2 linked regions of the Drosophila melanogaster genome follow. The protein of the gene in region 2 interacts with the protein of the main gene of each other region in a pairwise test. Each region holds a gene or a part of one and is shown on either strand. Other genes may lie near its edges.

Evidence for each region.
Region 1: the proteins of CG14219 (region 2) and Ddr interact in a two-hybrid assay, tested with the Drosophila melanogaster proteins (one large-scale study listed by BioGRID).

The regions. Positions count from the first base shown.
Region 1 is NT_033779.5:6,248,669-6,261,185, reverse strand, and holds the start of Ddr (discoidin domain receptor), read right to left. Parts: upstream 8,064-12,517; 5' UTR 7,857-8,063; intron 5,328-7,856; exon of another isoform or gene 5,311-5,327; coding exon of another isoform or gene 4,660-5,310; exon of another isoform or gene 4,364-4,659; intron 1-4,363. Other genes in the region: AANATL2 (arylalkylamine N-acetyltransferase-like 2), read right to left, coding at 4,660-5,310.
Region 2 is NC_004354.4:19,583,620-19,596,754, forward strand, and holds CG14219 (uncharacterized protein), read right to left. Parts: upstream 6,552-13,135; 5' UTR 6,453-6,551; coding exon 6,134-6,452; intron 6,067-6,133; coding exon 5,712-6,066; intron 5,635-5,711; coding exon 5,561-5,634; intron 5,506-5,560; coding exon 5,303-5,505; intron 5,245-5,302; coding exon 5,132-5,244; intron 5,053-5,131; coding exon 4,836-5,052; intron 4,777-4,835; coding exon 4,604-4,776; intron 4,544-4,603; coding exon 4,093-4,543; intron 4,033-4,092; coding exon 3,763-4,032; 3' UTR 3,729-3,762; downstream 1-3,728. Other genes in the region: CG14204 (uncharacterized protein), read left to right, coding at 23-320, 380-752, 811-884, 958-1,273, 1,338-1,554, 1,846-2,027, 2,086-2,557, 2,628-2,927; CG14205 (uncharacterized protein), read left to right, coding at 9,028-9,349, 9,421-9,775, 9,846-9,919, 9,984-10,186, 10,258-10,370, 10,462-10,678, 10,746-10,918, 11,022-11,487 and 1 more.

The sequences.
Region 1 (12,517 bases), on a different chromosome or scaffold from region 2:
CCCTGAAAGCCAGCAGCAGCCACAAACGGTAGAGAACAACTTTTATACTTTACACATTTTCACATATGAAAATATTTTTTTGCAAGTTTTTATCACTACCGTATACCCATCACAGCAAACCCTCTAACTTCCCTTCGTGGTTGTTGGGTGGGGGGCACAAAACATTTATGGGATTTGTGTTTGCCAGACATGTTTGCATTTTGTATATGCGATATGTTTGAAAATCCCGTTTCTGCCATTTCGTGCACAAAGCCAGGGAAAAAGGATATGGCCACGCCAAAGCGAGGAGCAGGGTCCTTTCCATTTTGTTTCCTCGTTTTCGGCGCGGTAATCGGGTGTCTGCGTTTGTGCCTCCATTTCTGCTCATGCGGGTGTGTCTGTCTGAGGTTAGAAAGTTTTCATATATTATGGTGAGGCGAACTCAGAACTTAGTGCTCCCGTAGGCGGGATGTTAATTTGCACAATGATTAGCATTTCGAAGCGCCGCGAATTTTGCCCCAGCTAATTTGAGCACATTTGGAAAACTACTTAAAATGGAACAAAAATTTTTGAAAATATTAAAATTAACGTTCTTTATCCAGATTCGTACTGTTTTCGAATATATTGCAGACTGAAGTTATAAAAATGTATTTTAAAGAAATACTAATTCCGCACCAGTTTGTTTTTTATTTATTTATTTCTTCAGTATAAAGTATGTAAGAAAGTAGTGCGGTTTGGCGGTCTACGTAGTGACGAAACACGCGAATGGCTTGAGTTCAGCGACTAGCCACTAAACAGTCATAAAAAACGCGAAAACCACTCACTGGAATCTCTAATGTCATCTACTAAATATAACAAATGACTTGCATTCACGCCAACTTAATTTTTCATCCCAGTTTTCTATACTTCATAATAATTTATTGTTTCTAAAATTTTGTTGCTTGCTTTCGTGTTCCTCATTCTGTGATTTCTGTGTGGCAATTTCACTAAGAACATTCCAATATGATTTGTGTGATCGATAAACTCTTGATTGAGTGTTAAGTGTAACAGCTTAAGATAGAGATACAAAAATGTGTTAGCGCACCAATAAAGACACAATATTTGGGGTGAAAAGAATACTTAAAATTGGTAACTGCACAATATAGCAACATAAATTGCAATACATATGTCTGCAACGAATTATCCTAAGCTATTTAACTTTGAAATCAGTAAAGAAAGCGATAGTCATTTCAGTTTCCTTGGCTATTTATATCGTTTATTCTCGTTTTTCCAGCGCTGTGCATCCATAACCCCCTCCACAAGCAAGCCCGCAATATGGTACCTCTATTATTAACCAGCAGGTGGCGGTGCGGCCCTTTGAAGTCGACCGACGACAACAAAGAACGTGACCAAGGCCGACACACAGGCAGAGGTACTCAGTACGTCAATAAATCAGAAGGCATTTGTCATGCACACGCCCGCTGCCCAAGATCGATACTCCAATGGCACAAAGTTGCAGAACCAGCCGTTTTGGCCACTTTCTGCTGACCATACCTGTTGCGCAGGCGCCGATCGTAGCAGCGATAATCGTGGCCAGGACCTAGGACCCACATATGGGTGTAGATGAAGGGACCAGGCCAGGATAACGAAAACCGCTACAGATAGTGGTTAGACCATGAATCCGATTGGCGATAGGTTGAGCCAAGTTTTTCAAAGTGGTCGCGTCTGAACCGCACTGCAGCAGACACATAAATCAGTTCGGTTTATTAATATTTTTTTACTGCGGTTTCCCTTTCGTCTCTCTCGTGTTTTTTCTTTAATTTTTGAATCGGTTTTAAAGCTTACAAGCAGTTTGACATGCTTCGTTCCTGATAGTTGTGTGTTTTTAGTCCAAAATTTATGTAGGTGCTTAATTTTTGTGTACCCCGTTTTTAAGATTTCCATGTATCATTCATATCTCATATGAACTATTTATTTCTTCATCATCTTATTTAAAAAAATACAACTCAACATGATTGCATTGAATTTTATAAATAAAACTTGAATATTCATGCAATTCAGTTAACTTTTTGATGAAAATGTTAGACCCCCCATGCAGACTGAATTTCTAAAAAAAAATATTCACAGGTTGGGTAAAAATTATGTGGGGAAGCAGACTGACCACTTCAGGAAAATCAGATAAACGACCCGAATTGAAACTACTTAGTTTGAATTCGTTAAACTTGTTACACATTGTGTAGGCAGTTAAATCTATTCGGAATCGAAATCGAAATCGGTATCTGCCGCTTACTGAAATATTTCAGAATATTTTAATTATGCATGGGCATAACCGTTTGCTGAGTATATTTTTCATTAATTAAGAAAGCATGAATTGGGATAGTCCTCTCGATTAAAAAAAATAATATATATATGCTCCCCACGGAGTTGACTATGGAAATTGCTTAATCAATTAATTTTCTCTAGATAAAATCAAGAGACCCTGATTTAAGTAATGAGATAGGCAACAAATTGAAAATCTTTTGATGGTAAAAAATCTTGTTCTATCCCTAGAAAATTAAAAATTTTGTATAGTATTTTGGGTCGATGCATACAATTTGGTGTGTCATATGAATGAGATTTAATTTTTGTGTTTTTTTTCCAACATTTAAATAGACGATCGGCTGCACAAACGCTCACGCAGTGAGTGTAGCACTTGTTCTAAATTAATCTTCATTAGGGTCACTTAAACAATAACAAAACGGACGGAGGTCGGGTCATACAGGGCAGCTGGGCAAGTGGGCAAGTGGGAAGTTGGGAGACTGGGCAGCCATATGTTGCAAGTTTTCCGTGCCGCAAAATAATCCGAACTCACGGAGAGTGCCGCAAACTTTGATTGAATTTTCATTAAATTTTTCGCTGCGGTTGGGAAGTTCACGCCATAAATCAAAAATTCAACTAGAAAATGTCAACTTTTCACTTTTAATTAGTTTGGCTGAGTATGAAAAAATTTTTAGGTCACGCTTTGCTGGCATAAATCAAAAATTCACTTGCGCAAATATTTGGAGAAATTTCAGTGCACCTAAAACTGTGGCGGTTTGCAAATATGCCGGGCCAACATGGGGCTGGCTTCACTGCCCTCCGCTGCGGGATGTGGTTGTTAAAATGTTTTTCCATGCCAGCGGCTTTCTTTTTAGGCAATTTTGCTGCATTATGCTGGCGACTTTGTTAGCAACATTTTTTCAAGCATTTTTAATTAAAACTTGAGCCTCCGAGAATCTGGCTAAAGGGCTGCTACAGTCATCTAATCGATTGCTTTACATCATAACCTTTGGTGTTGATTAAGCAATTTGAGACTATACGCTTTTATCTCCAATCGAATTTTTCTATTTGAGGGTCAGGGGTCAGCAACAACTGTTACCAGACTGGCGAAACATGGCAAACAGACTGTTCAGGCCAAAGCGGTAGTAAAAATCCCTCTGACTTTCCTCAGATTTGCCCCTCCTGCTCGATTCTTGTCGAACTTATCCTGCAGACATGTAAATTACGTTGGTTTTTGGTCTGTTTGCTGAATTTTCAACCAGACAGGACTTTGTCTGGCCACCCAAAGGACCCATTCCAATCGAGTCCCAGTCCCTCGTCGCCATTTACATTCCAAAATATTCTGTTGCACTTCCAGCCTCACCAGCTTACTCAAAAATGAATTTTTATGTTTTCGACAAATTCTATGTACCGAATGCTAATCCTTCAAGTTACTAACTACCTCGAGCTATTCTGACATGCCTTCATCAAATGAACTCGGCAGCATAAAAAAAGTATCTGGGAAAATTGTCACAACTTCTAGGTTCTTGCGACCAGAGAATCAGAAAAGCTTCTCGGTTAGCGTGAAAAGAAAGCTTTCTGCTCAAGGTAGCCAAGTGTGAGATCCATAATTCTGCTCAGCCTTCGCGGCCAATCGAAACCAAAACAACGCACATGTTACATAATCATATGTTTTATATATATAATCACAGATAAGACGACGAAGGGGAGTAATCCGTCGCCCATGTGTATCTCATATATATGTATGGTTTGCGCCTGCATCGCATGTGGCTAGCGTTTCGCCAGTGGATTGGATTACAAACACAATAAAACAACAATTAGTTTTAGTGCGAAAGCGGAAAAATGAGAGCAGGGCAACCGCAGTGCCGACAACAGTGCTGCGTCCCTTTAATGGACGACCGAGATGGAATACGATGAAGTGGGTCCCCGCAGCAAGGCCGAGCTAATGGGAGGGCAAAGTTCGTGGGATGTGCCACTCGACGGGAAAGAAGTGGCTGTTCTCGTTTACGACTTTAACTGCTAATGTTGGGCAAAAGCAAATCGCCGGATTTCTTATCCCACACTTAAAATCGCACAGACAAATCGGACAGATTTTCCAAAGTGATTTATGTGGAAGAGTTACGATCTTGGATGGGACAGTGCTGGGAAATACCCGGTTAATTGCACGCTTACTCATTTATTTTGCAAGACCCAAGAAATCAACGACAAACACTTATGATAATAGTTTGAATTCCTATATACTTGAACTGAAAACAATACAAAGTTGATTACAATGTCTACATAAACAAAGCTTTCTTATCTATCAAAATCGGTTTAGTTTCTTACGACTCCCCCTCCTTATATTGCCTATCTATCATGTTGCCATGAGCTATGTTTCTACATTCTTTGGTAATTTTCCTACTCTTACAGTCGTATGGCCACGACACTGGCGGAGGTGTGTGGCTCGGATGCCCGCAGGACGATCTCCCCGTGCTCGTCCTTGTAGTCCGCGTAATCCTTTGTGAGTATGCACTCCATGTTTAGGGCGGTCATAAGGCGTTTGGAGTTCTGGTTGCTGCAGGTAGATGTGACGACGGGAAATCCACGCTGGCGACCCAGCTCAATGGTGGCCTCCACCAGGCGGGTGCCCACTCTCTGGCGTCGAATGGACACGTCCACACCGAGCATGTACAGGTAAAGCGCCCGCTCCACTCCGTAGTGCTTGAAGATATTGGCCTGCCGCTCGATCCCGGCCAGAAACTTGTGTATCTTGTCCAGCAGGCACGTGATCTCCTTCTGCTCAGCCTCCTGGTACTCCCTCTCCAGATCCTCGGGTACCAATTCACCGGCCAGAACCACGCCCACAATGCGCTCCCCGTCGACGGCCACCAGGGAGAGATCCTGGGGTATGAGCGAGCGGTGTAGCTCAGCCTCCGCGGAAGACACCTCGCTCTGCTTGGGATCCTCCTGGGGGATCAGCATTAGCGGCTCCTGCTTGAAGAAGTGCACTGCGAGAAAGGCCTCGACCTCCTCGTAATCCCCGATTGTCATGGCGCGTATGGTGATCGCTGACATCTTCGCATTTGCCTCGCTCGCGGACTGAGACTGAGAGAAATTTAGCGCAATTTACTTGTTATATACATGCCAGGCCATCAAACATGCAGTGAGCTTGCGCCATCGTCTCCGTTCTGAGCTTTTCACGAATATGGGGCCCTCCTCCCAACGCACCGCCCACCTCCCACCGCCCAACCACCCACTGACCCGACGCACAGTTCTTATCAAAGCTTTTTTTCAAAATGATGTTCGCTAAACAAGCGGCCCCGAGGTTGAATGACACCAGTTTTGTTGTTCTGAGCGTGTGAATAATGATCTCAAACCATTTAGCGGTCCGATTGACGCCACCTGATTACGACGAGTCATTATACGGTTTATATGAGACCCCATATGTCTCGTAATACGGATCTTATCATTGGGTTAATATCTACGGAACATTATATGTAGCTATTTTACTTGCCGGTAGATACTGATCTCAAGTGTAGATTGCGCAGCTTTAGACTTAATATGTTTTTATATAGAGTGTATAACGGGTAATTCAAGACAGGTATTTTTAGGCAAGTAGTCCACTTGTGGATGGCATTTAAATATAATTTCTACCCGGCTCGAACTCGACTATAAGATACTCGTTCTTAAACGCAAGCTGTACCCTACATATAAAAAGTGATAGATATAATAAGCATCTGTTTAATCCTGAAACTGTAGCTCTGATAACATATCAGGTTTTCAGGATCCTGAAGTTCACACGGATTGGAAGCCACTAATCACCGGGATATATGGGTTAAAATTGCTTCTCAAACTTGGACAAAAGTTGTTAACTTGAGGTCTGTAGACGGCGATTCCACTCTCAAGTGGTGAATAATATTCCAAACAATGAGTGGTCCGGTGAATAAAATTGAACAGGTTTAAGGCAGGGCTTTGCTTTTGCATTTTGCGTGTTTCAATGCGAAACAAGTCGGTGGTTGAGTTCCCACCTTCTGTTCGACGAATCATTTGGCTAAATTATGAATCGCTGTTCAAACTCAAAATGCAGGTCATTAGTGCAATTTACATCAACCCCTTTTTAGTTTGCCCTCGTGGACTGTCACACGCACTTTACTGCACCACATTAACCCTTTGTTGCCCATCGCCGTTTTGCATTTTCCGCCCCCTAGTTGTCTTTTTCAATTATTTGCGGGGCTTGGTAGTCGTTGAACCCGTTTGAAGTTTAAAATCATTTTTTTTTATTTATTTATTTACTCTACGTGCAGCGCTGTTTTTTGATATCGCTCGCGGTCTTTATGGGAATTTAATTAGATTTAAAAGCCATAAACAAAACGCTATCTCGCTCTGGTCGCTTTTTAAGGTTGCTTTTACTTGGCATTTCGAGTCGCAATTGTTTTAAATTATTGGCATTTAATTTGTTGCGTCATTTTCAAGGTTTCCACATCCGATGACTTCAGTGGGGAAAACGAAAACGAATTAAAGTTTATTGAAATCGATTTTCACAGCGCAGAGCAAGAGCATTTGTAGCCATTTTGCGCGTTTCAAGTTTAATTTTCTATTTTTATTTTCGTGTTGATGACAACACCCAGAGGGGCTGGCTAGGATGGCATGGGATTTCCCGGACTACGTGACCCGCTTAACAAATTTGTGCGTGTTTGGGTTCGCCCAGTCCACGACCTCCAGGATCCGACTGCCGATAGCGTTTGCGCCACCCTCGCTTTATAGTTATTGCACTTTTATCTGCCTGACCATTTCAAAAGTCACTTTTGGCCTCCACTGTCCACTCTTCCATTTAATTAAAAACGAATGCACTGGCAGGGGTCAAAGTTCGTTCCCACGATCACCTCTACGCCTATCTGAGCTGGTATCTTAATGCCTGCGGGTTTTTCAGGCGCTAAAACGGTTTGCTACCTTTTGTTGCCCGAACTATGCGCTTTGTATCTATCACTTAATCAGACATTTCATTATCATAACTTCAAGGTCCCCATTAAACCTCAACTATTGAGCTGTGAATAGCTATAATCAATCCATTAGTTCGTTTTAACAATCACAATAATTATGGCATTTTGGCATGTAAGAAGTTAAGTCGAATTTGCAGGCACTGCGAAATACTAAAGATTTAGTTTATGAGCTCCATTTGAAATTGTTTTGTTAGCAATTAGTGGTTTGAGTTATGTAAGTTAAAGTAGAGCAAAATAATTTAATTTTAAGTTGGAGCACTCAAATTTGATTGGCCGCCGCCAACTTTTCCCCCTCAAATTTTGGCCGGTCTTTAATGGCATCATAAAGCTGTTAGCAAATATTAGGTGCATATTTCGGTGAGCATAGTTTTAATTAGTTTCAATTACTTCTTAAACTTTTTATTGGATTCGTCCCGACCATGCGAATTACCGTTAATCACCCCATTAAGATGAGCTAAAAGCCGAAAAACGAAATCATAACTTTTATTTTCACATAATTAAATCGACATTAGAGGTCGTTTAACTTTAGTTAACTACATTTAAGCCAAACGAGGTTAATTTTCGTGGTGGCAAGCGGGTCGCCAGGGTGGCAAAACTGGGTGGAAAAGCATACGGGCTCACCTGGACATTCGGAGGCCTTTGGAGTCCTGCGGATGATCCAATATTCGCTTGATGATGTTGCACATGGTTAAGTTACCGTTAACACTAATCACCACCAAGGTCGACACACACGATAACCGATAACGATAGTTTGTTGTCGATAGCCGATTGCCGACAATCGATTGCCGATGGCCGATAACGATAGGTGCAACACCGCCAGTTGTCCGACGCGTTGCTCCAGCAAAAGTTTCGCAACGACTACTGGCCCGTCAATTGGAGCTGCCTCAACGAGTGCCACAATGTCATCCACACGCACACAGACGAACCAGCACGGAGGACACCACACACATGCACACGAAAGAGGAAACATTTGCGATTTCCTTGCGCGACGTTTCCTGCTGTCGCAAAGAGTACTTGAAAGAGTAGGTTAAAAGAGCGCCACTCTCTTTCATCATTGGCGCAAACTCGCTCGCATGTGGATCCCATTTGTTTGATGAGAAAAGTATGAGTAGGTTGTGTGAGGGGGAGGTGAGTTGTTGCTGGCACAGGTGAGTCCATAATTCTGGCTTGTAAATACAAATAAAGGTACATAGTTTCTGATGCAAAATTGAATACAAAACTGGACACATTTGCTAAGATAGTTTTTGAAAAGAAAATACCTCTTTTCACAACTTTTCTGGAAAAACTCTCTCGCTAGCGCATTAAATATTTAAAATTATTGATTACATTTCTGGACCTGCTTCACCTTTCACCGCCCAGCCCGCCCACACAAACAAAACAAACTCAACGTTACTTTGTATTAACTTGAACTGTATCAGAGAGTTCTGCAATTTAAGAGCGTGCTCCGCTCTCTTCGACTCTCGTTGTTTCGTCGTATAAGACGGAGCGCGGCTGCCTGTTGATAAGCATTTACATTTACATAAGGTAAATAAGGAGCTGTGGATCCTAACAGCTGAACTCCGCGGGGGGGATGGGGGTCATGTAAACAACTACAAAAGTTTTCGGCCAGCAAAAGAGTTATTATGGAAAAAATCAAAATGGGCTATCGAAAAAATTAATTATCCTGAACGGAAGCGAATGCAACTTTTTTTTAAAAAAGTTTTAACAAAGTAAAGCAACATGGCACCGCGAAATGTATTCAACTTTCATTAACCAATATAGTAATGGAGTTTATTTTTCTACCTTTACAATATTCATAACTCGAGTATGAGAGGTGTAAAAAAAAATGATATCATAAAAAAAATGTAAAAAAGATAACAACAAAGACTTTAAAATTGTCGCAACTAAGAGGAAAAAATAAATATCAAAAGATGCAAGTAACCAATATTTAATTAAGTGGGCTGCTGTTTATGACATTTTATTCAAACAGAGAGTAAAACCCTAAAGGCTTTTGCGCATTTACATCCTTAAATATTGCCTCGATTCTTAAATTTCTTTATTTGCTTGGAAACCAGTTGTCTATTTATTAATCAGAAAAATCAATATCTACGTTTTATATAAAGTAAAATGTATCTCAAAAATACACAAGAGCTCAAGGCAAAGCCCTTAAAATAGAAAACCTACATTGGTTTAATTTTGTTGTATCAAATGCAGTTAAATGTTGTTAGCTTTTACAACATTTTTTGTGCAACAAAAACGTAATGTTTAAACTCTCTAATTATTATGCGTAGTCAATCTTAATAAAAGACCCAAGAAATGTGACACCAAAAATGCATTAAAATTAAGCAAATAAATTACACACATGTGCTTAATTTTGCGTTTAGGGATTATGTACAAGAAATTAGCAAGGCTATGCGATTTTGACATTATTCAATAACAAATTCATCTTATACCTTTTATCTGCACAGGCACACTTTCTGAATAAACATATGGCTGAAGCGTGTATCGCCGGGAATTAGTTTAAAGCAAGTTGCCACTTCAATTAGGGCCATGTCTGGCCAACGAGCGTCTGAATGGCCCCGGTGGCATCGGACTGCTGATAAGGATAACTGCCGAGTTAATCCCCGATGTCGTTGCCAAACATTCAATCACCGGCTGTCAGAAAGTTGCAGCACGGGGGCTTAAGGCAACTTTGAAAATTCCAAAACCCACTAAGACAGAGAGCAATGTGTTTGCAGCAACAAAACAAAATGCATATCAAATTGTTGACTTAATGCAGAAGGGGGAAAACAGATTGATGTCGAGCATGAGCCAAGAGTTCTTATCACAAGTTTTTCCCTACAGCTGTTTGCTTTTCTTTTCACGCTTTGCAAACCGTGAACGATTTAATGTCTGCAAAGTTATCAAACTGTTGATAGCAGCGCATTGGAAAATGAGCACTTAACTTTTGTCTCCCAGACTTAGCCAATTGGGAATAATCTTGCGCATCTTAAGCGATTGTTTTTATTAAAGAAGAAGTTGTCTGGAAATGAGTTGAATTAAAGAGCTGAACATTAAAATCATATGATTAAGTTTATTGAAAAGAATGAAATCTGTAGAAACCTACACTTTGTTACCACAATTATAGGATCAAACGTGAATCCTACGATATAAATACAATAAATCTATAAGATGTCTATTGACCTTGGAAGTTCAAGGATAGGTCACGGCGGGCCGTCTCGAGGATTACTGAGAAATCCAAAGCAATTAGGCAAAATGATTTGTGAAACGAGAAAGGATTTGAGAACCGATGACGCTCCTTCCCATCTTTTCTCAAAAATCAATGACTTGACGCAAAATTCGCGTGGGACGAAACACTAGAAAAGCGGGAAAAACAGAAAAGATTCATGCCCTTTGTTTTCCAATACAACTGACCGTTTGCGGGCGTTTGAGGTCCAAAGTCAAGACGTCAGACTGATTGTCCTGACATTTGTGAAGGTGGAAAATCAATAAGCGGAGAAAACGGAGAAAGAGATAGGCGGCCAAAAACGCAGCCGCCTGACGTGGCAAACTATTTTACACCTGAACTGTCTGGCCTGTCAAAAAAGAGCTCAGGTGCGACTGCGGAGTGAGGTTTCGGGAAAAACAAATAGAAAATGCGCGCGGCGAAAGGTGGAGCTGGAACGGAAGGTACAAGCCGAGCGCTCCGGCTTAATGAAGATATTAGACAGCGTCTGAGGAACGGGTTCCCATCTTGACAGCCATGACGGTCATAATAAGGCTGGGTGTCATAAGCTGTTGAAAGTCGATTGAAAAGGTCGAAGGAACTCGCAGCGGGCAAACTCGACTACCAAAATATTTCTCGGCGTTGCACATTCAGTCGCACTATGGGCTTATGACCACAATTTCCGCTTAAAATCCAAGAAAATGCCATAGAAACGGTTAAATTTTCGGACTATGGAATATATGACATTTACCTACATATATTTGTAAGTATCTCTGTATTGAATTTCAATTTTAAAGATTTCTATCTTTCTGTTCTAAACTTCTACGGTGTTAGAAGTTTAACTAGATACTAGTTAGATCGATTGCTCTAGGTTCCCCTGTCAATTTTTATGCCAAATTTTTTGCTTTAAATTTTTCTGAGTGCGCCGAGCTAAAAAAAAGGGGAATTCCATAGAACCGACAACAACAACAGAAGTTGCCAACTTGTCAGCTGACAGGCAGGCGGCGTTCTTAGGGCTGTCCCCCAACCACCATTCTCCACAACACCCATCACCCAGCCCCCTTAAGCCGTCAACCAACTCGTGTCAAAAGCCCCTTGCCTGCGGCATGTGAGCGGAAAAGGAAAAGGTGTGGGGCGATGGGGTGGGTGGGGAAAAACAAAATTCAAAGGCTGCCAATTGCCAATTGAAGCCGTAAAGTATGCTAAGCAATTTGCGTCGTGTGTGTGGTATTCATGTGGATGTGGGTGTGTGTGGGTGGGTAGGTGTTTGTGTGGTGGTGGGGCAGGGAGTTAGGGATTGGAGGGACTCAGTGTGTGGTGCGATATTTATTGTTGTTTCATGCCAAACTTGAGCCGGAGTCAGAATCAGCTGGCTGGTTGGTTAGCTGGCTGGGCGAAGGAGCCATGAGTTTAGCATGGAGGCACCTGGCACCTGACGTATCAGACCTCGAACACCGCTCCTAATCCACCTGCTGTCGAGGACCCTTCATAAGTCGAACAGTGTGATTTCGATTTTGGTATGTAGGCTCTCGAACAGCCCTAGCTGCGATGGATGAGGCGTAACCGTTTCCGGTCCGCTTCCGGCCTACTTTGACTGAGTGTAACTAAGTTGAATTTATATTCGGTGATGGATTTTCCAGTTATGAAACTTGATTCATATTAGCTCGTGCAATTTACCACCTAAATCACAGCATATTCTAGGGTAATAATTTCAGATTATTCATTTGGCAAGCAATGATTTTGGGGCACTAATATACCTACCCGTCGGCAGCTACTCCCCTATTGTTGTATTTCCATTTCCGGCAGACGACGTCCAGTCACAAAGCTAATCAAAATGTCCGATACATGCACTTCACTCACTCAAACACTCGCACGATTTCCCTCACACGCACTTCGAGTGCAAACCTTGAATCTCGTAGTGTTGTTCGTGTTGGTTTTTCTTGGGGCTTTGGAGTGCCATTCAGGGCTGGGGCGAGCAGGCTTGTTCGAGAGTCCTTTATTGGGCGCCTCGAAAAACACTTGAATGAGTGGCCCTTGCCGAAAGGATACCGATTGATTTTACTCACCTCTTCTGCATTTGCGTAGCTATATTTATAAG
Region 2 (13,135 bases):
AACTAGGAGCTCCAGGCGAAAGATGATCAAGCTATTGGCTATATTGCTTGCCATGGGAATGGCGATGGTCCAAGGAGCGCTGCCGACCCAACTATCAAATAATCAATGGACACAACACGATGTGTCCTCCATGGCGGATTACGAACGGCTCCTGGATCTGCGCTCCCTGGCAATGGAGTTCTATCGCGAATTTCGGAACATTTCAACGGCGGATGTGCATCTTCTGGGTGAGCGGATTGGATCACAAGATCTACAGTGCCTGGCCGATATGGCCCAGTTTATGAGTGCGCTTAGTGCGCCCAAGGCGTGGGCCCTAAAAAGTGGGTATTACAACATCTTCAACTTTGATGCCATTTGAGTTTATCCCTTCTATGCGAAGTGCTCGACGCGTGGGGCACCATTCCATCGGGATATCTCATTGGCAACCGCGTCGACATGGGCAACTACAGGGAGTGCCTGTCCGAGGGCGGAATGCTCACCTCATCGCAGGACATCCAGGGAAAGTACTGCTTCATGGAGCTGCCGGTTGCCAAGTGGTTGGGTTTCACTTCTGAGCTGCTGGCGGTGACCAACATAAGGACTGCTGTGTGCCTGCCTTCCTCTTGCTCGGCGGGCACCATGGAGCTGTTCCTCAAGCAACTGCTCAAGCGGCTGCTTGGCGTCAGTGATCCGACCAATTTGTTTTCCATCAGCGAGACGTCGTGCAGAATCAAGGAGAAAGCACCCTGGGATGGGCTCACCATATTCACAGTGTGAGTAGTGTCTTGATACATCCTAGCTGATCTATCCATACTAACTGACTACCATCAGCGTTCTACTGTCCGTATTTGGTGTCACGGTTATCCTGTGCACCCTCTACGACTACTTCTTGTGTCCGGAGCAGGGTAAGTAGCTGACATAAATCGGATAACAGCCTATATGTATGTATATGTACCATATATCCATGTCTACCCGCAGAAAAGCTACCCCGTCCCATCGGCGCCTTCTCAGCCCGTGCCACTTCGCGTTCGCTGTTCACCATTGTGGAGAACACGGCGAATCCGAATGTAATCCACTGTCTCAATGGCATGCGGTGCATGTCCCTGATCTGGGTAATCTTGAGCCATGAGTACATTATCAACATGAAGGGTCCCGCCATCAATCCAGCGGACAACCTGCGATGGGCGACGCAACTCTTCTCGAGCTTCATACTCTACGGTACCTTGTCGGTGGACACGTTCTTCTTCATCAGCGGCTTGCTGCTGGTTTCAATTGGCCTGCGAAGCATAGAAAAGTGAGTCAACTTGTACAGGGATTAATCCGATCTGTAGGCAGGCTAACATTCTCAATGGCTCCAGAAACAAGGGAAAGCTAAATGTGCCGCTGATGTATCTGCACCGATATCTGCGCCTCACTCCGATCGTAGCCGTTGCCATACTGGCATTCTACAAGATGATACCCCTCATCGCAGACGGCCCAATGTACGATGATATCGGCTTTTTCGACTACTCCGGGTGCAAGATGACCTGGTACTGGACTCTGCTCTACGTGCAGAACTACGCAACATCCGATGTGGTGAGTTGAATGTCCAAGTTGATCAGGAGAGGTGGACAAGCCCATCTAGTCCGTCCGTATCAGGATGGATCTGTATCAACCTTATATACCTTAGAAGTTACAATAATTAAAAGTGTTTAGTGGCTTTACTGCGAATAGGAGATCACTTCGATAGATGGCGCCTGCAGCACTAGAATTGATCGTTGGCGCCATCTATGTAAGTTCGGTGGTACCATTGCCATTGCAGTTGGAGCTCTTGACTATATCTGTATATTTATCTATCTAATTATTTGATTGTTGGTTGCTCCTTAGTGCGTGCCGCATACCTGGTACTTGGCGGTGGACATGCAACTGTACATCCTGTCCCCGATCCTGCTGATCGCCCTCTACAAGTGGGGCAAGAAGGCGGCCGGAGGTATCCTGGTGGTCACTTTGTTGCTCTCCGCCTGCCTGTTTGCCACCATAATGGTGAATGACTTCCCTGTGATGTTCAAGTAAGCCAGTCGCGCCCGCCGTTTTGTGTCCCCCAATGCTAATTGCAATTACTAACAGGAATGGAATTCAGGCTCAGGTGGTTCAGAGGAAGATCTACACCGCTACGCATACCCATGCGGCGCCCTGGTTGGTCGGTACTATGTTCGGTTATCTCCTGCACCTGATGCGCGGCCGAAGATTCAAGTTAAGCCTCCTGGCTACCTGGGCAGGCTGGCTGCTCTGCCTGGCCCCGCTCTTCACCTCGATCTTCGCCTTGTATCCGTACTCCAAGCTGCTGGGCAAATCGCCCTCAGTGTTGCAGGGAGCCCTCTACTATACACTGGTCCGGATCGCCTGGCCCCTCGGTCTCTGCTGGGTGGTCTTTGCGTGCATGCAGGGCTATGGTAGTCTGGCCAACAGCTTCCTCTCCTCTCCACTTTGGCAGCCGTTGTCCAAGCTCTCCTACGGCGCCTACATCTGGCACATCTTTGTCGTGGAAGTCGCCAATAGAAGCGTTCAGACCAATACGTACTTCTCCAACTATCAAGTGGTAAGTGTGTGGCAGGCAGGGTCACTCGACATTCCTATTGGACTTGAACGCTTCATTTCCAACTCCATAGATGCTCAACTTTTGGTCCACCTTTGGCTTTACCCTGCTGATGTCCTACGTGCTCTACGTTTTAATTGAGGCGCCTCTGGAGGCCTTGGAAAGAATTATGTTTCCCAATCGCAGAAGCCCGCCAGCAGCAAAGGATCAGCTGCATATCGAGTCCCGAACGGAAGTCGTGGACCAGATGGACCAGATGGATCACATGGACGGGATGGATCAGGTGGTGCAGCACGAGAAGCGCAGTGATATCCAGCCTGACCTGGAAACGAGTGCCAACAAAACAGAGACTGACCTCGAGTTATCAAATTAGACTTATCAGCTCCTATTTAGCCTTTATTAAAACGAACTACTTGTAATCTAGGCACAATTAACTTAACCACGGGTCTAGAGTTACGATGGAATGAATGGTCCTTGAGTTGAAAAGTCTTGCACTTAAGACGATATCAGTCGTTATCTGGTTGCGACTTTTGCGACCAGGTGGGTTTCGAATTAGTCATGAAGGTGATTCCCGACTTTGGCTTGCTGTAATGGGCACACAAAGATTTCAATTCTGACTCACAGAGGCGATGCACGCCCCATTCAGTTACAGAAAAAAAGAAAAGAAACACAAAAAAAAAACAGAAGGAACGACTTTGTCTAGTGTCTCGACTATCAGATATGTATGCACCAAAGCGTTTACAAGTTTTTCAGTTTGATAAGAGCCAAATCTGTTGATAATTTACATTCCATAGATTACGTATTTGTATTTGTATACTTGACTTCCCCACTTTGCTGACCATGTGTCTTGACTTTCATCTGCGTAGTGACGAAATGCTATGTTTATAGTCAGGAAATTGGAGAATTTGCTCTGATAAAACGATAAAATCAATCGATTGACAAACCAATCGAAACGTATTTATTAACATTTTAAACTTGTATTTTGGATGCTTAAAGTGGGCGGGGCCAACATGTTGTGGGCAGATCGACAGAAATGGGCAAGCCAAATAATAAAAGTAGGCGTATCTGCGTTCATATGGATGGACATGGAAGTATCGACTCGTCCAGTGATTCTGATCAAGAATATCGGAATCGCTTACCGTACAATGAATTTCGAACACAGTTTTAATACTTTACGTAACGCATGAAATCATATATTTTAAATGTAATTATACTAAAACGTTGCTCTTTTCGGGAGCAGCCTGAATAACTTCGTCGGGTATCGTGGATATCGCTTCCGCAGGCTTACCTACTGGAGATTCTTCGACTGATGCCTTCACCTCCGACATCCTGGGCTCCACCACCGCGGCCGGCTTGGCATTTGGCCTCTTTGCGGGCAGCAAAAGGCTTTCCAGACCGGCGAATGGCGCTTCGATTAGGATATGCATGAGGTACGAGAACAGAATCGTAAAGCCAAAGTCCGTCCAGAATCGAAGCATCTGGAGATAGGGGGATTCTTAGAATGGTCAACTCCGCGTACAAGGGAACATGGTACCTACCACTTGATAGTCACTAAAGTAGGTACTTGTGTGCGTGATTCCACCGTTCAAGCTCTCGATGAACATGTGAAAGATGTAGGCGGAATAGGATAGCCTGGACAGCGGCTGCCACAGGGGAGAGGATAGCAAGCTGTTGGCCAGTCCTCCGTAACCGTGCATGCAGGCGAAAACCACCCAGCAGAGACCAAGGGGCCAGGCGATCCTGGTTAGGCTTACGTAGAAGGCCTCCTCCACAATGGGCAACGTGTTCTGACCATAGATCGAAAACAGGCAGCTGGCTATCAGTGACAACGCAATCAGCCATCCCAGGAGGACAGCCAGGCGGTTCAGCTTGAAATCCTTGCCCCGGTTGGTATGAAGAAAGTAGCCGAACAGTATGCCAATCAGGTAGGGAGAAGCACGAGTCTGTGTGGCATAGTAGAGCTTCCTCATCGAATCACCGCCGCTTCCTCTGCAAATAAGAGAATTGTTCTGAATATCTTACATATAAGTATCCCTAACATCCACTTACAGCGATAAATCATTGATGACCATGATGCTAAAAAGACAGCCGGCCAGCAGGAGCATCAGAACAAAGATTCCGGCAGCCGCCTTCTTGCCCCACTTGTACAGGCAGATCAGGAGGAATGGTGCAAAGATGTACAGCTGCATGTCCACCGCCAGGTACCAGGAATGACTTAGGCACTGCGAGAAACCGTGGGTGATATAAGGTGATACAAAATGTCGTCATCGAAGGACCCTACCAGGCTATCAGTCGCATAGTTCTGCACATAGAGTAGTGTCCAGTACCAGGTGCTCTCACATGCTGAGTAGTCATCAAAGCTTATTGATCCTTTAAGTGGCCCGCTTTCCCACAGCGGCAGGATCTTCATGTAGAAGAGTATGGCAATGGCCAGGATGGGCGTGAGTCGCAGATACCGATGCAAATACATTAGGGGTATATTCAGCTTTCCCTTGGTTCTGGACGGAGTAACAACACAATGTAAGTGAGTAATTGAGTAATTCAAATGATATCCCTATCATTCAAGTCACAACTCACCTATCCATTGATCGCAGGGCAATCACCACGAGCAACAGACCGCTCAGGAAGAAAAATGAGTCCACCGCATAGACCGCATGTTTTACAAACAGACTGTAGAATGAGTTGATCCACTAAATAATGGGTAATTATATAGAACTTTTACGTTTTTCTTTTACTCGCCCAACTTACCGTCAGAAGGTAACCCATATTAATGTTGGGCGACGTGGCAAGCACCATATAGTCATGACCGTAGACCACCCAGATGAAGGAAAGGCATCGGATCCCATGAAGACAATCGATGACGTTGGGATTCGCCTTGGTGTCCACAATGCGGAATAGGGCACGCGAGTTAGCTCGTGCCGAGAAGGCTTCTACCACTGGATGGATGGTTTCTACAAGCACGGACGATTACTACGGATTCAAGGATCGCATTCGCGAAGAACTCACTCTCATCTTTGCAAAAGAAATAATCGAAAATAGTGCAGACGCCCACTATAGCACCCAAGATCGAAACGATCACTCTGAAAGTTTACGTGTTAACCAAATCTTAGACCATCGTCGCATCCATCATCTCTTTATGATTATGATCTCTACTTACATGGTGAATATGGCGAGGCCATCGTACGGTTTCTTCACTGCGGTCTGGCATGTCTCCTCGGCGACGATCTGCACATCTGCATCAATCTCCACGGTGAGCAGCTTCTGGAAGAGCCTTCGGAGCATCGTATCCATGTTAGCGGCGGAACAGGTGGCCGGAAAGCAGACAGCTGACTTGAGAGCTAATATGGGCAGCAGACTTGGAGCTGGTGTCAGTTTGGTGATGCAGTACTTGCCCTTGATACTGTGACTGCTGGTCACAGCATGGTCAATTGCAATGCACTCGTCGAAGTTGCCCAAGTTCCACCAGTTGCCCGCCAGCATTCCCGAAGGCAGCAGGCCCCAGGAGTCAATCACTGCAACGGAATCGAAACGAAACTGAGGTACAGAGAGCACCTTGGGTACGCAAGCCTCACTACTCACTCTTCAGGGCCCAGAATTTAAAGGACGATAGGTCCTTGGACAGGAGCGCTAGATCCGCTAGGCACTCGAGATCCTGCAACGAGGGTATCCTCGAGTTCGAGTTCGCCGTGAGATCCTCTAGAGTTACATTGGCGTAGTGCTCAAAGAACTCCACTGACAAGCGTCTGGTGTTGAAAATACTCGAATAATGATCCCCACCAGCAATGTGCTCAGTGAGCAGTTTCGTATTGGTCATGGCAAATATGTTGGTCATCTGTGCATTAACACTTTTGGCCAAAGCCAAAAGGCCCAATCCCAGGATAAACGCCAACCTAACCATGTTGCTCTGTCTGGTGGCGAAATGAATTTGATCGGATTGCCAACGCGCCTGGGGGCTTATATTCGCGGCACTTCATGGTCCGTCATTCTGCGATTAATCCATAACCATAACCATGGAACGCAAAGTGTTTTAAAATACGCCCCACACGTTCAGCGCTGATAATCAATTCTTATCTATAGTCTCCTTTTGGTGTTAACTTATGGTGCTGATTTATTTAAGTATAATCTACACATGCCTGTCACTAACTTGAATCAATTTTAGAAGATATAAAAGTAAAGTATTAAAGTAATTACAACCGGAATAATTGAGAAAACTTCTTGATTTCGAGACGAAATCGATCTCAATGTTGATATTTGCAGGCACATGATTCGATCTTGGCTAGATTTTGAGATCGAAGCTATCAAAGATTATCATTCCAGTTACGCATTGTAAATCCTAAGGACTGTTAATCGTTTTATTGTTTGACCATCTTGATTAACCACACAAAAAACACTTTGCATAAACTTTGCACAATTCATTGTTAAGATATAAGGATTTATGAAAAAAAATTCCTTGAAATTCTAACCTATTGTATATTCGGTTCAGGATCAGCGACTCCAAGAATAGAAACTTGCGTTGAAAAATAAACGGTTTTGAATAACCAAACACTTAGTGATAACGGCCTAATGGGTTCCAGCTGAATTATGAGGAGCACTTGTGACCACGCAATCAGATCGGGTATTAGGTGACTCGTACTTGGCACTTGAGGTGTATGTATTCAAGCCAAATGTCTGGTCCTATCAATGAGTAATTCGAAGAAGGCCGTCTGACTTGATTGGCATCGCGTTAGGAGCATCGAATTTGTTTGTAATGATCCCAAAACAAAGTTGTTATTCGCACGTTATCAGTCGATTTCAGGCGATTCCGCTTAAACGATTCTGGCTTATTATTCGGGGAAGTGATATTGTCATGCACGGCTATTTTCATAGTCATATAAACCAGCAAAAGAGATAAAACAAAGTTTCCACGTAACGAGCATTCTATCGAAGTGCAAGATTAGAAAAGAGAAAATACCATTGCTAATTTGAAAAGAAGTGGGAAATCTATGGTTTAACTGGACCACATTTCGATCTAAATTAAATTTGTTGAGTTATGGTTTCAAAATGAATTTATTAAATAGCTTAATCAATAGCTTAAATAGCTAAAATGAGAAACGTAAAACTCCATGTAAATAGCACTTATTTCAAAAATATATATAATATACAACCGCTCATATACAATGTCATGTTCACGTGTGAACACTATCAGATACCCATTGCTTAGCTAGTGGAAGGAAGATGTGAAAAGCAGTGGAAAGAATTGAATTGAATTGAAATGGCTCTCTATCGCAACCCGGTGGCGGTTAGTTCAATTTAATTTGTGGGCAAATATCTTGCAATTATAATAATAATAATTCTCAACGATCTCGATTTAAGAATTCCGAATCATGCTCAGCATACTAAAATCGAGATCGAACCATTCTTAGATTCCAACCACTCCATTCGTACTTATTTTTTCTGCTTTCCCATCAAAAATAGCAAAATTGAGCTCGTTTTTGTCTCGAAATCAAGAAGATTTCTTCTCATGAGAATTGAGTTCTCGGTTTTTGTTCTATATTATGTTTTATCCTAGATTATAAAGACCATATATTTGTTATCGTGAAACAGAGTTATTAATTATGGAGATATTATGGATTATGAATATTAAGTTATACAGAGAATTCTTATTTTTAGCAATGTAACTGGTTATATGATTGTTCAGTCACCAAATTTCTTTCTACTTTTTCCAAAGTTAGTTTTTTTTTTTTAGAAATGTACGAATTTCAATTCCGTGAAGAATCCTTTGGTTTGATTAGCACAAGTGCCCAAATCTGTTTAGATAATCACTTTTTGTCAAAGCCAGAACGGGTGCTATCTATTAGTTTTGTTTAAAATCCACTTGAATATTATATTTCGCCATAATGAGCTAAATAAGCGAATGCTTAGCCATATGCTCTTAGCTTGGTTAATTCAGTTTTTTTTTTAGTTGGCAAAGATTATAGAGATTGTAATTTAAGCGCGTCTATTCGAATTTTGGATCACAATCTAGAAGTTGGCTTGAAAGGATCTTAATCGATCGTTTCCAAGCGATAGCCCACAAAATAGTGACTTTTCAGGTGCCGCCAAAAAAAGCACTTCAAACGTGTTTTCGTCCAAACAATTTTTGCACAAAAGCGGCCCGCGTCGTCTAGACTGTTTTATTGGGTTTGGAATAATCGCCGACTAAGTCTGATCCAGTCGGTTACTATTCGAAGATAATTTTTGATTAGGTCGAACTTTGCTCGTAGTGGGGACATTCCCACAAAACCAGGTGCTGACCATGGCAATGATTGAGGTAGTTGCACAAATAACCATTTGGGACTGGTCGTGAAAAAGATTATGGAACGATAACTAGGTTCTCTCAGTGCCCATGATAACACTACTGAAGCCCTACTCTTATCGAAGTCTCGACCTCGTATAAATAAGATCGTTCGAAGTGCTGCCACAACCAAAGCGCTGATTACTACCAACCCATCAAGATGGTCAAGCATAGCACAGGGCCAATCGTTTCGCTCCTGGTCATGTCCTTGGCACTGACCAGTGCCAGTATACGTGTGGAGCATCCAAAGAACTCCACCTTGAACGTAGGCAATCCAGAGTGGCAGTCACAATCCTACCACACAATTTCCAGACTCAGACGCCTTGCAGTCGAGTTCTTTGCCCAGTACCAGAACATAACGATATCCGATCTGTATCGGGATAAGGAGATTCGACTACCCACCACCGACGATTTGAGGTGCCTGGCAGATCTGCAGACTCTTGCGAAAGATGTGTCCGATAGAAAATTGTGGGCCCTAAGAAGTAAGTTCATAGTCGATACAGAAAAATATGACTTATTGTCCGACATTACCGATTACCATCATCGTTTACAGTGATTGACTCTTGGGGCACTTTTCCTTCGGGCATCCTGTACGGCAATGTGATCGATCTGGGCAACTTCGACGAGTGCTTGGGCATAGACCACGCTGTGACCTCCACTCACAATGTCCAGGGCAAGTACTGCCTCAGCAAGCTTCAGTTGGCATCGAGTATTCCCACCTTTTTGGCACTCAAGACAGCGGTGTGCTTTCCCGCCTCCTGCTCAGCCGACCACATGGACACAATGCTCCGAAGATTGCTGCAGAACCTCCTAAGCATTGAGCTGAATCCAGATGTGCCTCTAGTGAGTGAGGGCACCTGCAAGACTGCCGATCGGGAACCTTACGATGCTCTAACCATTTTCACAATGTAAGTGTTCTTAAAAGCATTATGGTAATGTTATCGTACATCAAATCAAATCATGCAAAATTTCCATTAGAGTCGTGCTATCGATACTGTGCGTTCTCATGGTGCTGGCCACTGTCTGCGACTACTTGGTCTGCCAGGATGACCGTGAGTATTGCCAAAGCTATGTGCAAATCTCTTCCAGATGCTAATGTGATATACGTTTCGGCAGAACCGCTAAATAAGTGGATTAAAGCTTTCTCCGCGCGCGCCAACTGCCGGATTCTCTTCAGGTTGGTGGCACCCAGGAGCAATCCCAATGTGATCGACTGCCTTCATGGCATTCGGGTACTGTCCTTCATCTGGGTCGTCTATGGCCACATATACCTCGTATCTTTCTTTGGCCCCAACATGAACCTTGTCAAATTGGACACGGTAAGCTCACCCAACTTTCCAAACTCGAAAAAATCCATATCTAATGATGTACATACATTTTCGCGATGCAGTGGCGCAGATCGCCGTACAGTATGCTAGTGCAACATGCAGCATACTCTGTGGACACGTTCTTCTTTTTGAGTGGCCTCCTGATGGTGGTGATAGCTCTAAGAGCAATGGAAAGGTACGACTCTTTGGACTTAAGCAACATGCACGGTGTCATTTAGACGGGTTTTGGAAACAAAGATTATTACTTCCTATTGACCCATTTGCAGAACCAAAGGAAAGCTCAATGTGTCCCTGATGTATCTGCATCGCTATCTGCGCCTCACTCCGGTCCTGGCCTTGGCCATCATCGTCTACATGTCGATTCTGCCACGAATGGGCGATGGCCCACTGTACGGGAAGGTGAACTTCGATGACTACTCCAAATGCAAGGACACCTGGTACTGGACCCTCTTGTACGTGCAGAACTATGCCACTGATGAAATCGTAGGTTATCCCACTCAATTCTAACTGGCATTTCGTTGCTTATCACACACCGAACTTCGACTAACAGTGCCTAGGCCACTCTTGGTACCTGGCGGTGGACATGCAGCTCTACATCATTGCACCCATACTCCTGATCTGCCTGTACAAGTGGGGAAAGAAGGCGGCCGCCGGGATTCTGGTCGCCATGCTGCTCCTTGCCGCATGTCTCTTCAGCATCATGGTGATCGGGGACGTTTCTCTGTAAGTGCAGACAGATATGAATGAATATGGATATGGATATGGATATGGATATGATCGTAACTAACATACCCTTGCCTTACTGTCTTGCCTTCTTATCCTGCAGCATTGCTATCAGCGAGGGGGCAATGGAAAAGATATACTTCTCTACACACACCAGGGCATCCCCGTATCTGATTGGTATTCTGTTCGGATACTTTCTGCACGTCAACCGGGGCAAGTCCTTCAAGCTCAGCCCCATTACAGTCGTCCTGGGTTGGCTGACCAGCCTGGCGTTGCTCTTCAGCTGCTTGTTTGCCGTCTACGGTTATGCCGCGGATGCGGAAATACCACCCATTGTGGAGGAGGCCTTCTATCTGACCTTCACCCGGATCGCCTGGCCTCTCGGTCTCTGCTGGGTGGTTTTCGCCTGCATGCACGGCTACGGAGGACTGGCCAACAGCTTCCTTTCCTCTCCCCTTTGGCAGCCGCTGTCCAAGCTATCCTACTCCGCCTACATCTTCCACATGTTCATGGAGAGCCTCAACGCCGGCATTACGCGCACCAACACCTACTTCAGTGATTACCAAGTTGTAAGTTCAAAGCCACATATGCGTTGGTAGTTCGAAACACTAATTGGGAATGGGAATCCTTGCAGATGCTTCGTTTCTGGTGCGATTTTGGCTTTACCGTGCTCCTCGCCTTCGCTGTGTACATTCTGATCGAGGCGCCGTTTGGAAATTTGGAAGGCCTCCTGCTTCCCGACAAGAGGCCCTGTCCACCACGCCCAGCTGTGGAGGAGTCGAAGGAGGCCCCAGTGGGGGGATGCAGTGCATCTGCGCCAACACTGGAAAATAAAACGCCTCTTCCGGCATAAGGATCTCGAAACTATTTATGAGCAAAGATATCAATTATAGGTTAAGGACCTTTTTTTACTAATGTTAGTTCATTTAAGACATACATATATTCTTTAAAACTACAAAGGTAGATCATAAATATGAATATACCAAAGAAATACAATATTATCGACAATTCAATTTGTATAGAACTTTTTTTTAATATTTTTATAAGTAGATTAGCTTTCTTAATTTTCCCATATGACACACTATGGGATATTAACATTAAAAAATTATTTTCTTTGAAAAATTCTTTGATTTGCCCTCTAATCAAAATGTGATTTTAATGAAATGTAATTTACAAAGAAACATCTTTCAAGAGCAGATTTTAATGACTTACTGAACATACTGACGTCATATAATCGATATATATATAATATATATATATTATATAATCGATATAAAAAAATTTTTCTTAAGTTTAATAGTGCATACTTTGGCTTGTAATAATTTACGCTTCGAATTTCGAATTTAAAGTGAACGGGTAATATCTTTTATCTTATACAACTTATACAACGAACATAATGAATCTACGTAGCTTTTTTATAGTTAGATGCACATTACTGGTGGCGAAGTGAAACGCATTTCGGATAAGTTTCGAATGCTGAGTTCCCTATAAAAAACAATCGCAGAACTTGATGAAATAGAAGCCAAAGTGACTGAAAACTATGAAAGTATGAACTATTCAGGCACTGGTTCCAAAACGGGTATCAATTCATGCATAAATTGTAACGTGTAACGAAATAAGTTTATGGACAAGGGCAAGGGAGAAACCTGTACTTGCGGGTGCACGCTTTAAAGTCCGGCTCTAGCTCATGGTGTGGCGGTCTTGCTTGTACAAATACCTTTTCCCTACAGGCATTAATAATTAAAATCAAGAATTGAGCGTGCTTTCAACAACGGAATAGAGGAGCTAGTATACAAAATCGGAGGAAGAAAATTAATATTTTCGAAAGGAGGAGGAAGTTCTAGAACAGGAGGAATAGCTTAAGAATTGGTTGCCTGCGCAACACAGGTTTAATTATGTTCGCGGATTGCCCTATGCTATCTATGACCACTTTCATTAAAGGCATGGCTCTAGCGGCCCCTTTGGTACCCTATGTCCGATGAAACATCAGCCGAGTTCAGTATTTAAGTTTTTAGAAATTCATTTTTTTATTGCATTCATGGTGGTAACTAATAATTAATAGCAATATTTATAAGTAATAATAGGTAAGTAATAAATTAAATAAGTAAATAAATGAATGCAAACTAAAGTAAGATGAGGAAATATAAGGCAGTAGGTGTTAGTTTTTGCCGTAAATTCAAGAAAAATTTTATAAAAGGTATTCAAGAAAATTGTCAT